2 linked regions of the Struthio camelus genome follow. Each later gene encodes a partner of the first gene's protein in a complex. Links are inferred from orthologs where the notes say so. Each region holds a gene or a part of one and is shown on either strand. Other genes may lie near its edges.

Region 1 (7,757 bases):
CACTTGGGAAAGTATAGACAGACACTTGTACAGCAATCTCCAAATAAACTCAACTGCTACTTGCATCTTCCTAACCTGACTTCAAGCAAATTTAGTAATTGCTGCTTATTGTTTCTGTAGCCTTTAAAAAAACCCTGTAAGTGACAGGAGTTCACAGGGAGGAGCCCTTAACAGCTCAGTTCCAAACTTTCCCAAAGGTGCATCTAGCAGGCCACCCCAAAGGGTTTCTCTGCAGACTCAACCCCTTCATCCCCCCCCTCCCCCCACCATGTGCACTCTCCAGCTAAGAAGGAGAGATGATCCAGACCCCACTTTAAAGGGCCAGAGCCTTGGAGTCAACACCCGGGGCCCCGGCTAAGGCAGGAGCGCAGCTCACAGCTCTCCCTGATCGGAGGTACCGCAGAACCCTCCCATTTCCTCCCCGCCGCAGGCATCACAATGCGGCCGGCCCGGGGCCGCAGCAGCTCCCCCCGCCGCCGGGCACCTCGCCGTGCGGAGCTCGGCCCACCAGAAGCGGGGGCTCTGGCCACCCTGCCGCCCTTCGCGGGAAGCTCCCTCCTCCCCTCTCCCGGTCTGTCCCTGCAGGGGCTCCTCACGGCTCTGCCCACCTTGGCTCCGTCCCAGCACCTCCCTAAATCCCCCCTCCGTGCGCCTCTCGACCGGCGGGAACACAGCGACACCCATCCTCCCGCCTCTTCCCGGCGCTCCCCAGCCGCCAGGCCCTAAACCTTGCGGCACTCGCCCGCCGGAGCGAGGAGACGGCCCTACCCCTTCCCGGGGCACGGCAGCCGCCTCCTCGCCTCACAAAGCGGGGCCTCCAAGGCCGCAGGGAAATGCGCCCCGCCGGGCTCACCCCACCCCCCGGGGAGGGGGGGGGAAGCGAAGGCGGCGGGGAGGAAGCCGGGCCCGGGCGGCTCCTGGCGGCGGCGCCCCCCCGCCATCTCCCCCAGGGGAAGGGGCAGGCTGGGCCCGGCCCGGCCGCGCCCCCTCCTCGCCCGGCTGGGGGGGAGCCGAGCGCCACTCCCGCCTCCTCCCCGGCTCCTCGCGGGGCCCCCAGCGCCGCCCCGCCCGCCGGGGCCCCAGCGCTGCCCGCGGCGCCGCGCTCACCCCCGGCCGCCGCCGAAGCTGCTGTAGGCCCGATCGTCGTAAGGATCAAAATCCGCCATCGCCACCTCAGCCTCCTCCCCGTGCGAGCGTGACAGGACCGGGCCCGCAGGACCCCGCGCCGCTTATATACGGCGGAGCGCGGGCCGGGGCTGTCCGTCGCGGTGCCTGTCTCCAGCTCCCCGCCCTGCCGGGGCTGCCCGCCCTGCTGCCTGTCGGAAAGTCTCCGCGCCCGGGCGCGCAGGGGGCCGCGCCCCGCCGCCGCCGCCGCTACCGCTACCGGCCCCGCCGCGCTGCGGCGGCGTCACAGGGCCCAGGCGGCGCCAGCGCAGCCCGGCCCGGCCCGGCCGCCCTTGTGCCGGGCGGCGGCGGCGGCGCGGGGCTGAGCCGCCGCGGAGGGTGGCTCGGCGGGAAGGGAGGCTCCGGCGCGGGGAGAGCGGCCCGGGCCGGGGTGTCAGCGGCCCCCGGGGCTGCGGCCTCGGGGCCTGCGCTGGGCCCGCCCGGGCTGCGGCGCTGCACCACGCAGGCCGGAGGAGCGGGGTGTGCTGCCGTGCAAGGCGCGCCCGGACCTGCGGCTCTAAAGCGTAGCTTCACTTTCTTAGTCTTCCAGTCACCGGCCTCTTTTGTGTCCCCAAAAGGGACTTGCTGTCACTTACGATACGATCAGAGACAGAGCAGTTTTCGTGCTCCGAGCGTTGTGTTTATTCTGCCGGCGCTCGCTGCTGGCCGGAGATGGAGATTTTGAAAGGGAAGGCAGCAAACGTCAGGCTTGGTAGCCGGCTCTGCGCAGCTTCTGCGTGGCGTCTGGAGAATCGCTCCATTTTCTTTTCTTTTTTTTTTTTTGTTGGGCAGGAAAGATAACAGGCGTAGCCAGAAGTTTCTTAGTGCCCATAAAAATACATCCTTTGCATTAACTGATTTTTTTTTCCCCTCGGCCGTTACTTCATGTTTTACAATAAAACCATAAGACGTACTGATTTTTCTGTGGTGACCAACTGTGCCAATAGGGCAGGTGCCCGGCCCCGCTGCTAGGCCACCGCACTTGGAAAGAGCCGAAGATAACAGCTTGCTCAGTGCCCGCATCCAGCCCGCCGGTGTTTTAAAGCGGCCCAGCACACGCAGCCAGAGCGCAGGACCGCGGGCGGGACTGCAGCCTGCGTGGCCCTGTGCGCCGACAGCGAGGTCCCGCTCCTGTCATCTGCGCCTTGACACCACCAGTTGCTCTTTCGGTGCTCTCTTTTAAACAAGACTAATTCTAAAAAATGATGGGAGCCCATCGCAGGGGGTGCAGCCTCAGCGCCCCCGGGGCTGGGAGCCACCGCTCGTCCCGCCTGAGCGAGGGGGGACATCGACGGTGGAGGTTCAGCTCAAGACACGTGCCGATGCCACCACCGGCCTTCGTCCTGTGCAGCGGCCCGAGAGGAAGGAGGGACGATTTTACAGTAGCGCTGGGGTTTTAAGCCTCTTCCCCGCACAACCCTGCTTTTCCCCACAGGGACGGGGCTGAAACAGTCCTGCCGAGCGGCTACTACGGAGGGCAGGACGCAGGGCAGGTGGAGCAGGGTGGGGGGAGCGTGTTGGATGGGGCAGGGTGAAGGAGGCCTGCGGGTGCCTGTCCTGCCAGGAGGATGGTGCTGAGGGGAGGATGGCTCTGAGGAGAGCGTGGAGCTGAGGGGAGGACGGAGCTGAGGAGAGTGTGGAGCTGAGGGGAGGATGGTGCTGAGGGGAGGATGGAGCTGAAGAGAGTGTGGAGCTGAGGGGAGGATGGCACTGAGGAGAGTGTGGAGCTGAGGGGAGTGTGGAGCTGAGGGGAGGATGGCGCTGAGGAGAGTGTGGAGCTGAGGGGAGGATGGCGCTGAGGAGAGTGTGGAGCTGAGGGGAGGATGGAGCTGAGGAGAGCGTGGAGCTGAGGGGAGGATGGCGCTGAGGAGAGCGTGGAGCTGAGGGGAGGATGGAGCTGAGGAGAGCGTGGAGCTGAGGAGAGCGTGGAGCTGAGGAGAGCGTGGAGCTGAGGAGAGCGTGGAGCTGAGGGGAGGATGGCGCTGAGGGGAGCATGGAGCTGAGGGGAGGATGGTGCTGAGGAGAGCGTGGAGCTGAGGGGAGGATGGAGCTGAGGAGAGCGTGGAGCTGAGGAGAGCGTGGAGCTGAGGGGAGGATGGCGCTGAGGGGAGCATGGAGCTGAGGAGAGGATGGTGCTGAGGGGAGGATGGCTCTGAGGAGAGCGTGGAGCTGAGGGGAGGACGGAGCTGAGGAGAGTGTGGAGCTGAGGGGAGGATGGTGCTGAGGGGAGGATGGAGCTGAAGAGAGTGTGGAGCTGAGGGGAGGATGGAGCTGAGGAGAGCGTGGAGCTGAGGAGAGCGTGGAGCTGAGGAGAGCGTGGAGCTGAGGGGAGCATGGAGCTGAGGGGAGGATGGCGCTGAGGGGAGGATGGCGCTGAGGAGAGTGTGGAGCTGAGGGGAGGATGGCGCTGAGGAGAGTGTGGAGCTGAGGGGAGGATGGAGCTGAGGAGAGCGTGGAGCTGAGGGGAGGATGGAGCTGAGGAGAGCGTGGAGCTGAGGGGAGGATGGAGCTGAGGAGAGCGTGGAGCTGAGGAGAGCGTGGAGCTGAGGGGAGGATGGAGCTGAGGGGAGGATGGAGCTGAGGAGAGCGTGGAGCTGAGGGGAGCGTGGAGCTGAGGGGAGGATGGCGCTGAGGGGAGCATGGAGCTGAGGGGAGGATGGCGCTGAGGAGAGCGTGGAGCTGAGGGGAGGATGGTGCTGAGGGGAGGATGGCTCTGAGGAGAGCGTGGAGCTGAGGGGAGGACGGAGCTGAGGAGAGTGTGGAGCTGAGGGGAGGATGGTGCTGAGGGGAGGATGGAGCTGAAGAGAGTGTGGAGCTGAGGGGAGGATGGCGCTGAGGAGAGTGTGGAGCTGAGGGGAGTGTGGAGCTGAGGGGAGCGTGGAGCTGAGGGGAGGATGGCGCTGAGGGGAGGATGGAGCTGAGGAGAGCGTGGAGCTGAGGGGAGGATGGCGCTGAGGGGAGGATGGAGCTGAGGAGAGTGTGGAGCTGAGGGGAGGGTGGAGCTGAGGAGAGTGTGGAGCTGAGGCGAGAATGGTGCTGAGGGGAGGATGGTGCTGAGGGGAGGATGGTGCTGAAGGGAGGATGGTGCTGAGGAGAGTGTGGAGCTGAGGGGAGGATGGAGCTGAGGGGAGGATGGCGCTGAGGGGAGGATGGCGCTGAGGAGAGTGTGGAGCTGAGGGGAGGATGGTGCTGAAGGGAGGATGGTGCTGAGGGGAGGATGGAGCTGAGGAGAGTGTGGAGCTGAGGGGAGGATGGAGCTGAGAGTGTGGAGCTGAGGAGAGCGTGGAGCTGAGGGGAGGATGGCGCTGAGGAGAGTGTGGAGCTGAGGGGAGGATGGAGCTGAGGAGAGCGTGGTCCTGCACGGAGGACGGCGCTGAGGGAAGGCTGTGGTGCTGAGCAGCCGAGGAGGCCGCGGTGAACAGGCCCGGCCAGGCGCAGCGACGCTGCCCCGGAAGGGGCGGGCCGGCAGCGGCGGCGACGGCCCCACGTGCGCGGCGGCGGCGGCATGGCGGAGCGGGAGCCCCGCGGCGGCGGCGGCGGCGGCATGGCGGAGCGGGAGCCCCGCGGCGGCGGCGGCGGCGGCGGCGGCATGGCGGAGCGGGAGCCCCGCGGCGGTGGCGTGGCGGGCGCCGACGCCCGCGGCGTGCTGCGGCAGGGCCGCGCCTTCCTCGACCTCTTCTGGGACATCGCCAAGCCCGAGCAGGAGGTGCGGCTGGCCGCCACCGAGAGCCTCCTGCGGCACCTGCGGGACGGCAGGAAGGTGAGGCCGGGGCCGGGGCCGGGAGCGGGGGCGCCGCTGGGAGAGGCGGAGGGCGAGCCTGGCTCTGTCTTGCAGGACGACGAGCTGAAGTACACCCTCAAGCGCCTGGTGGAGGGACTGGGGGCCACCCGCGAGGCGGCGCGGCCGGGCTTCAGCCTGGCCCTGGCGCAGGTCAGTGTTTCCGCGAGCTCGGGAGCGCGCCCGAAAGTCCTGTTAGGGCTTCTTAAACAGTGTCTTTATGTCTGACCAGTTCTTACCGTGACACGCGTTTTCCTGATGTGGGTGCGCTCTATTCTGGCCTCGTAAAGCAGCGCATCTCGTGTTCTGGTCGGCTCGGCTTTGGCTGAACCGCGTAAAGCGTCGCAGGACGTAAGGACTGCAAACTGTGCTGTCTCGCCCGTCTCCCCAGGTTTTGCAGGCTTTTGAGGAGATTCCGGTGTGCGGTGTGCTGGAACAGATAAAAGAAAAACACAATCTGGGAAAAGTGAAAAAGGTGAGTGGGCTCATAGCAGCATCGGCCAACAACTAGGTTAGATTAACTGTTCTCTGCTCTTTGAAGGTTTGACCTCGGGATACTGTAGCTTTTGGAGTTCTTCCTAAGACAAACGACTGTAACAGGACTTGAAATATTTGTAAAAACTGGAGGTTGATGACACTGTCATCTAGCCCTGTCTTAGCTGAGATTTGCCTGACTGTCTTAAGACACTGGTTCTTAAACATCGCGCAGGGGGGTGTTCTTGGTTGTGTTATCTTCATATGGAAGGACATTCAAGACCAGATCTTCCAGCCAGTTTGTCCTAGTAGTAGGAACTGTAGGTGAATGTGAGATCGAACCCAGCAGTGGGGGGGATTGCTACTCTTAATTTTTTTCCTTTTTCCAGAAACTTGTGAGAAATGCTGCTTTTGGAAACTTTTTTGGAGTTATGGCTCTGTTTCAATCAGGCCGGCTTGTTAAGGTAACGTTAGTATGGTTATGGTATTTGTCAGTAATGGTTCTGGAGTTGTCTTGAAATGCAGAGAGGATCTAGAGAGAAAGGCTGGCCCATTGGCTACTGCATGAGATGGGACTTTGGAGCATCAAGTCCAGTTCACTTCTTTTTGCCTTTTCCATAGGCTTTTTGTGCCTTTTAAATGTCTGTTCCTGATTCATAGCAGGGGTGTTACTTGGAAGAGTGTGGCAAGAATCAGTTGTGAGATGCTTTGATGCTCATGTAAAAGGGGTCATATGAATCCAGAAGTTAACAGTTGGTCACCAACAACTCAAGCTTCTTAGTAGAAAACTGTGGTATTATCAGCTGGAAGTCAAAGATGGGAAGAAAAGAAGGAAAAGGATGGTTAAGAAAACTTGCATGGGTGAAATAATAGAAAATCTGTTTTCTAGAAAATAGAAAAGCTTGGGGAGACTAGGTGGATGGATTAACTGATTACCAGAAATGTAAGAACTGTGTCAGATAGTCCCTACCTCGCCTGGAAGGGAGGGATCTTTTGTCACATGCGGTCAGAAAACACCGTATTGGGAAGAACTGAGTTGTATATCAAGAAGTGATAGTGTAGGCTTCTTATTGTAAGTAGACATGTGGGTCTCAGAGTGTATTATTACCTGAGCCTTCAGCTTACCCTTAGATATATATTCTCTATTTTTTGATTTCCCAGGACCAGAAAGCTCTGCTGGAGAGCATCCAGCTTCTCCAACAGTTGGCACATCACCAAGCACACCTCAGAGATCTCCCTGGAAAAACTCTTGTTGACATCCTTTCTGAGGTATAGACACAGTGTGTGTTGGGTGGGAAGTAGGACTTTGTTTAGGGGACTGCTTTTTCATTGGTTTGTTCATAGTTGAAAGTAAGAGGAGGGGTTATGGAAGAGTGCAGCAGCTATTTTCTGTATTTATCTGTGGGCAGATGCCTTTATTCTGCAAAAGATGCTCTAGTTTAGCTGAGTCTGCTTTCATCATGGACAAACCGTTATTCTTAGTTTTCCCAGTTGACTTGTTTGGGTGGCGCATTAGACCCTCTGCTCTCTTGGAGACAAATGTGCTGAAAACTCTGGACAAGAAAGCTGCTCGTTTGGGCACCCAGTTTCTAATTCGTTACTTGCGCCCAAGGCTGAATTTTGGGTGGTTGGGAGTGGAAGGGGTGTACGAACAGGGGGTACAGGAGGTCTGTACAGGTAGTAAAAAGAGAAAGTATTTGTTTATTTTCTTGGTTTGCATGGATATTATTGGTAGTCATGAAGACTAACAGCATTAAATCACAATTAAGTAATGCTTTATATGGAAATATTCCTGGTCATCTAATCTTGATGTTAAGTTTTAATATATTTTGAGTCTTATCTGTTAATAAATACAAATGAAAGCAATTTTTATACTTTTTCTATGTTATTGATGAAAACATTAGGTCCAGTTTCCTCGAAAACATTGAATGCAGTTGTTTACCAGTAAATCCCATTGAAATAGGTAGCTCTTTTTTTAAGTAATGCAATTGAAAGCTAATAGAAGGGTGTTTTGTCCTCCCACGTGCTTCATGACAGTACTGCCAGGAGCAGTCAGACTGCAACAGAGCAATTGCAGCTGGAGTCAGTGGACAGAACTGCTATTTAATGACAACAAGTTGTCCTTCTCCGCATGGTTAAACACCTGGGGCCCGTATGGCAATACTGGATACTAATTCTCTATTTAAATAATTTTTGGTTGCGTCATCTTGAAAAGAATTTCTAAAATTTCCAAAACAGCACAGGTTTTTAAAATATCTGCACTGTAGGGCATTTTATGAATGTACCGCAGAGCGAGCTAGTAAAACGCTGTCAGATGTTTCTTGCATGCTCTCTCATCTAC
Region 2 (7,573 bases), on another chromosome or scaffold:
TGGATGGCTGCGGGGGTGGAGAAAGAGAAGGGGGAAAAAAATCGCACTCTGAAAAGAAAAGCTTCTTGTCTCCTGGAAAATTGTCAGTTTGCATCACTTCGTGTCGACAAATTTTTATTATTAAGACCACCTTAACTTATCAGACTGCTACTAAGTTTTTTCAGATTTTTCTTTTTTGGTTTTTTTTCTTAAACGCAGGTTGCACTCATTACATTGCAATCTATTTCTCCCAGCTCAGCAGCTGGCAACCCACGAGTTTCACATTCTAGCATAACTCAGTGAAGAGCTCTAAGTGCAAAATTGTCTCCTCACAAAGTAACAATACCCTTGGAAATGTTTTTTAAAACGTGTAACTGTAAACATGTAACAAAACCTATAGACCTGAGAAATAGAAATGTATAGCCTCAAGCCTTAAAGTGTGGATGAATAGACAGTGTTTCTTTTTCTTAAGTGCAAGTTACATAACATGTACATAGTTAACTGGCACATACACGCACTATTCATTGCAAAACTAAGTCAGAAGTACCAGGAGGCTAGTAACTGTGTGAGCATTCATCCTAGGTCAAATTCTGTCCTTGTAGTAGCTACACTAAGGAAACCATCCTGCTAAATGTTCTTGAACAGAGCCGCACGTGGAGCCTTGAGATGAAAACCCTTTTAGTGCCTGCCTCTTCAAAGCTCAAATGTCAGTAGAGAAATGCAGAAGAGTTTCCAGTGCTACTACTTGTGAGAGCTAAGTTTCATCAGTCCAGAGTTCCGAGGTGGTAGCTCTGAATACTTCATATACAATGCAACAGCTGCTTAAGCTTTGACTGTACAACATACAAGCGTAGATGTTTTTAAACACACAAAGCAGTCATTTCCAAACCCTGCAGAATGTGATGCAACTTAACTTCATAGTAGCTGGCACGTTAGCAGATATCCCAACACAGATCAAGTTTGACAAAGTTCAGTGTTGTCATTCACACATACATGGAAGATGTGCCTTCATGTACTATTTTGACTCATTATCTATATCTGATGTTTCTTATTACGTAAGAATTGAGCTGAATCTTTCCATATACTTATCTTGAAATATGACCCATAAAAGATTTCTAATACTGGGTGAAATTGCTCACATCAATTCATATCAACAACTCATTTCATGTTTGTGAGAATTCCTATTTACAACAACAACTAACTCTTAAGGGCTTCTTAAGGGCAAGAAACAGATGACGAGTTCAGATGATGCAACAGTCTGCTAGTCCACAAACACCTAGATATGAAACAAAAAGGGGGACAAAGGATGTTGTCTGAACTGAGCAGTACCCGCTTCGGAAACACTTTGCAAATCAACTGTCTTTGTCATTCAAAACAGATGTAAATTATCTGGTACAAGTATGCAGTGAGTATTTGGAGACATTAAGTATAATTGTTACTAATCATACTATAAATTAACTACACAGTGCTCAAATAGTTTTCAATTTTCTCCTGTTCTGCAAGTTGTGTTAATTAGCTCAATTATCAGTTCATCTCTTGATTTCTGCTTTCTGCTAGTGATTATATCAAATTTAGATTCAAAAGCCATATAATGCTTCTAATGTTAATAAAGATGTACTTAGCATTTATACAGGACTTTTCTCAGCATTTCGCAGACAAGCCATTTTGACATTTCCAGGAAATATGCAACCACATTACTGTTTTATAGACAGAGAAGCTAAAGTGTATGTATATATGTGTACATATATACATACACATGCATGACTCTCATGAGGGCACAAAGCAACATTACCTATATTATTAAAAAGCAGCATCACATAATTTGTTGCTGTGGCTTTTCACTTTGTGAATAAAACTCCTAATATGAGTTACTAGGTACTTATTTTGATGCCGGCCACTTTCTCTGCTATCTACAGACAATCTTCTATAATCTTACTCACAGCAGATCTGCTAGACTCTGCACTGGTGGCAGGATCCTGCAGTAATCAGTCAGTTTGAAAACAAAATAAATGCAGTCCTGGGGGACTTTGTACACTCTGTGAAGCCTACAATTCTATTCCTAAAGGCTTCTCAAAAACCACTGTATGCTTCATGCCGAAAGCCAACACACAGTGTTAGCTAAACCACAACTCCGAAATGACTGAAAATATGTTTGCATTAATTAACAGATGGTGGTGATCGTGTTTGAGGTAGCTTTGGCTGGTGCACTGTAGCACAGAATACCAGCATATAATGCATCCTGAAACATGCCAGCTTCTGTCTTTTACAGCTCCTTCAGAGCACTTTTCACTATTTAATTCTGTCGAGTTAAAACGCCTAAGAACACACCCTTTGATATTTCAGAGCGACCCTAGGGTACCTCCAAGATAACTGTTTCATCGAAATAGAGATAGCTATCAAAAATAAGTAAGCGAGCATCCTGTCTGAATATAGGGTCTATGGTAGTAAAAGAGCAGACTCTCCCTGGTGGAATAAGAAGAGCAGGCTACAGTGAGCAGCTCCCGCATTAATTCCGAGGCCCTCTTTGAACCATTCATCCCTTTCTAATTGAGCCTTCCTCCAGAATCAACGTTTTTATTTTAAGTTGCATTTAGTACCACTCACTAGACTAATCTAAGATGTAAACACCTTAGATTATACAAACATTTTACAATAATCTAATTATCTTATTTAGGTCTTTCAAATCTCAGCTGAAGCTGAGAAATGAAGTTAACTGCATCAGGGTGTGTAGAGAGAAGACAGCAAGACAGAAGCATCAATACAGGGCAAGATCCCAAAACAGTGTATTGTTAATGTGCATTCCTAGTAATAGTAGAAATGATAAGATAAACCAGATTCAGTCTCTTTTCTTGAATCCAGTAATTTCCCTTTAATACATATCTGATTTTTTTTTAATTCTGAATTTGCCCCCTCCTTCTCTCAACCCCTAGCATTGTGAATTTTTTCTAAAAGCCTCCATATTGTCTCAGTTTTGTTTCGGAAATGGAACAACTGATTATCAAAATTTTTAACAATTTTAATTGAAACCGTTCCACAAATTTGAAAAAGTACCATTAAGAACAGATAGAGAAGGTTCCAAAAACAGAATCAAGAAAGGTTAGTTGTCATTCTTGCTGAAGTTCCACGAAAAGAAACCTGAGTCAATATATAGCTCACCTGCACTAAGAATTTATCAATTCCTAAAATATTGAATTAATTGGATGTTTGAGGGTGTACTCCCTACTGCAATGACATGTCTTCTCTAAAGGAATCCATGAAAACATTATCTTCTACTTCTCCCCCAAAAGCAGCCCTAGTGTCATATTGGTAGGACATTAATATAGCTAGTTTAACTAGGTAAATCATCTCCATTGAGTAAACATGTCCTTGTTTACAAGATAGGGTCTAATTTATCACCACAACCTAAAGCACACCCTTCAGATGTCTTCCGTCTTAATTCCAAACTAATCCAAACCTATCCATCTTGTAGAAAGTAGTCTGTTGTCTTCAAACATCTGTCTTGTGCCATTTGTGTAGCCTATGGCTTAATGATGAGATACTTCTGCCTCCTTATTGTATACTAACTTCAAGCTTTTCTGATTATGTATTGTAGTAAATAATTCACATTTTCCTCTTTAAGACCACTGCCATCTGTGATTTTACCAGCTAACTTCAAAAAAAGAATCTGCACTTCCATTGCTTAAAGTAGGGGTAATTAACATACATTCCCTGGACCTTCTTTTTTTATGGAAAATTTTCCCCATTCCAGAGTCTATTATTTCGTAGTACTTATTATTATTTCGTAGTACATTAGATTTCCCAGTTCTGCTGCCAACTCTACATTGAGTGCTATGTTGTATGCACATCTAAAAGGTCAATGTTCAGTTAAAAAACAGAATCATGTGGGTTTTTTTTTAAATCCTTTCACTTCTTACCCTTAACTGCTGTCCCACCCCCAAGGTAACAGCCACCCACCTACTAGACAAAAAGCTCCTGTCAGTACAACGTGGCCTCAAGACAGTCATCAGCACTGACTACTTCAGGCTACTTCTTTCTCCAGCATGTTTTCTGAGCGCTGCTAACTCCTGCTGAAGGCACGTTAACCTCAGTCAGGCCTCTTCTCTGGTCTGAACTGCCTGTCCTCAGCTCTGGCAGGCCACAGTGCGGGGAGCGGGACCAGCCCTCTGCCCCTCAGCACCATAGGGCACACGGCCCGGCTGCCCACCCCGTAATTTTAAACGGGCAAGGAGGAGACCTCCTTCTTCTGCCCCCGGGCCTCTGCTCCGCAGCCAGCCGCCTACCAACGGCCGCTTTCTCCCGTTGGCCGCCCGCCCCGCGCCCCAGCACCGCCGTCGTTGCCCTGCGCCCCACAGGCGCCCGGCGAGCCGCAGGCAAACGAGCTCGCCACAGCAGGGCGGGACCGCCAAGGCCTTCGCGTACACATGCGAGCGAGGACAGGGACAGGGACAAGGACAAGACAGGGGCAGGGCGGCAGCCCCCCTACCGCCTGCGGACACAACCCCGGCGGGGCGGGGCGGGGCGGGGCGGGGCGGGGCGGGGCGGGGCGGGGCGGGAGGTGGCGGTTGCACCACAGGCCCCGCCCTCCCCGCCGCCGAGCCAATGGCCCCGTGGCGGGGCAGGCGCGCGGCGGGGCGCGCGCGCTCTCTCTGACGTCACCCCGGAGGCCCGCACAGGCAGCCGCAGGTCACGCACATCCGCGCGCGCGCGCGCGCACACCCCTCCCCGTTCCCTGCGCGCGCACCCTTCCCTCGCGCGCTGCCCCCCCCCCGCCCCCACGCCGCCGGGGGCTGCGGGCGCTGATTGGCCGCCGCCTTCCCGCTTCCTTCTCCCCTTTCGAGAACCCGCCATTTTGAAAACCTTGTTGATTCCGGGAGAGAGAGAGAGAGAGAAAGAGAGAGAGAGAAAGAGAGTGGCCGCGGGACGCGGAGCGCGCGCGCCCGCTCGGGGCTGTGTGCCGCGTGCGAGGGCGCGAGCCAGCGCCCGCCCCGCCCCTCCTTCTCCAACCCCCCCCCCCCAACGCCGCCGCCGCCGCTTCCCTCCTCCGGTAACTGTCGCCTCTGGCTGCCGTTACTGCCGCGGCCGCGCCCGAAGAAGGAGCCAGAAGCCGGGGCTTGAGCTGAGGTGGGTCCCGCCGCCGTGGCGATAACGGCGCCAGAGGGGGCGCTCCCGCCCCTCGCGGCGGGCCGCGGCCCGGGCGGGCGGCCCGGCAGGCGGGGAGGGGGGTGGACGAGAAACGGGACCGCCCCGGGCCGGGGGCGCTTGTCACCTACCCGGGCCGCCTGCTTCCCCAGTCCGCCTCGGGGTGGCGGGCTGGGTTTCACCCCCGAGGTGTTAGTTCTGAGGGCCCGGCCCGGCCCTGCTGCGCGGCCCGGAGGCGGGAGGGCAGCCGCCCCCGTTAGCCTTGAGCGTCAGCTCCTCCGGGTAATAGCTACGGAGATCGCTTTCCCCGGCCTTCGGCTCGCCGGTCGGGAAGGCGAGGGGTGGAGGCAAGTCCATGTCTGAACAGTCCCGGGGAGGGTGGGAGGTGTGGCTGTGCACAAGTCACTTTCTCCCCTTGCGGGATACCCTGTCCTTATTTCTCCTTCTCGTGTGGCTGAAAGTATCCCTGGTTTGACTCTCTTTAAGGGTGGATCCCTGTGCGTTTTTTCCCTGAGCAAACAGGCCTTCAGTGACCTGGATGCTGAAAAGGCAAAAGTCTCTTACTCTCCTGTTTTCCTTCCCCGCCCCCACTGAAAGAGGGGGGGAAGGCAGTTTGTAGTACTTTGCTTACTTTTTCACTCGTGTAAAAGGGTAAAATTCACAGAGCAGAATCGTGAAGAAGTTGAATTACTCTTCCTGTGTCAAACTGACATACCGGCACCCCCCCTCCCCGAAGGAGAGGGTTTTTTTCAAGTCGTTTAACAAAGGAGAGTAAACTTTCTTTTTGCCCTTACTATTGGTATTGTAGCTCATGTTTTCTGTCATTTGGTGTGTTGCTCTTCTCTGACACCTGCTAATCTTGCTCCTGTGCAGTTGATTTGATTATTGTTTATTGAGTCTGAACTCCTGAACATGTATTGGTTTTAATGCTGGAACAAGGTGGTTAATCATGTGATTTCACACACACATTCCCTTCCCCTGGCTTATACAACCCATGCTGTGTTTTGTTCCAGACATGTAAATAGTGAAAGATTTTAAAAGCTGGAGTCATCTTAATATAAATAGATAGGCTTATTTTCCTTTGTTAGATAGGCATTCCCTCTGTCATTAGGGAAAGTAGGGGAAATGGCCCTCACCTAAATGAGATGTTTAACCTAACCTTTAAGCCACTTCGAATATTAAAAGACTCCTCTTAAATTTGCTAAGTATGAAGTGTGGTTTTGTTTTGCGTTTTTTTTTTGTAGACTTGCAGATTAAAACTAAAAAGCGTTTTCAACCCCTAGGATGCCATGCAGCTATTTGTACTCAGAAAGCAGTGTTAACTTTTCCATGAGTTGCTCTTTTTTTTTTTTTTTTTTCAGTTCCTATTTCCTGTGTAAATGTATAGTCTGTTAAATTGATTAGGAAACTTGCATGTACAGTTAACTGTGATCAGAAATAACTTCGGTTTGTAATGTGCTGCACTAAGATTGTAATATTTTAATACGTTACAGTTCTTAATAGATACAATATCAGTTGCTTTTAGGGTTGGGTGTTCCTGAATACTTCACAAAGCAAGCTTTAAGACTATTGCGTGTGGAAAGAACTGATAACCTCTTAAATTGTTCTCAAGCAGATTAGTTGCAGAATGGATGACAAAACTGTTGAAGAAATTTTGTGTATGCAGGATACTCATCTGTGGCTTAAAGAATGTGAGCAATCACAACAGGAGTACTATGACATGACTTCTACCATACAAAGGGATTTTTTAAAAAGGAAAATTCCTGTGCTGCTTACATATTATATTGTATTGTTGATGGTTTTACTGACTGCTTTTTATAGAACCAGACACCATGTCGTCTGTTGCTTCATCAAAAGAAGATACAATGTCATCTGAAAAAGCAGATGAGAAAGAACCTGAAACTGAGAACAAAGCTGAGGAAAGTGATGAGGAGGAAGAGGAGGAAGAGGAGGAGGAAGAAGAAAAAGGTACCTCTGTTTCTTCAGAATGATTTATCATTTTAAAAAAATGCCAGGCTTATTGAGTGCAGTCTCTGTGATCACAAAAAATTGTACAATTGTTGTTTAGGAGAGTCCACAGGACAGCTGTCTCATGGATCATAAATCACTTCCTAGTAGACTCTTAACAGAACAGACTTAGCCCTAGAAACCATAATGCTGATGTTCCTCAGAAAAGACTGAAGGAATTGCCAGCATCCTGGGTTCCTGCACTGGAGTGTGTTGTTTTTTTTTTTTTTTTTTTGGATAAACTCGTAGATAATTGTAAGAGGCAGAGTCTTATATTGAATTAGCTGTAGAAACATGCATATCCAAAAAGAATCCTTTTTTTTTTTCTAGTAGCACATTGAAATGATCCATGTTTGCAGAAGAGAGAAATTTTAAAAAGCTGTGAAGTAGTTTAGGAAGCAATACAGATGTCTTTATTTGCTTAACTACTGTAAGTTATTTTACTGGG

The links.
Region 2: MYBBP1A (region 1) and DEK share a complex: the UniProt entries of both Homo sapiens proteins name them as parts of the B-WICH complex. The link is inferred for Struthio camelus from reciprocal best matches to the Homo sapiens genes MYBBP1A and DEK.

What each region holds. Positions count from the first base shown.
Region 1 is NC_090957.1:12,811,037-12,818,793, forward strand, and holds the start of MYBBP1A (myb-binding protein 1A), read left to right. Parts: upstream 1-4,740; 5' UTR 4,741-4,753; coding exon 4,754-4,924; intron 4,925-4,999; coding exon 5,000-5,095; intron 5,096-5,333; coding exon 5,334-5,417; intron 5,418-5,805; coding exon 5,806-5,880; intron 5,881-6,577; coding exon 6,578-6,685; intron 6,686-7,757. Other genes in the region: EIF4H (eukaryotic translation initiation factor 4H), read right to left, coding at 1,108-1,166. UniProt on the Homo sapiens protein: May activate or repress transcription via interactions with sequence specific DNA-binding proteins. Repression may be mediated at least in part by histone deacetylase activity (HDAC activity).
Region 2 is NC_090943.1:97,667,259-97,674,831, forward strand, and holds the start of DEK (protein DEK), read left to right. Parts: upstream 1-4,569; 5' UTR 4,570-5,100; intron 5,101-6,939; 5' UTR 6,940-6,950; coding exon 6,951-7,086; intron 7,087-7,573. UniProt on the Homo sapiens protein: Involved in chromatin organization.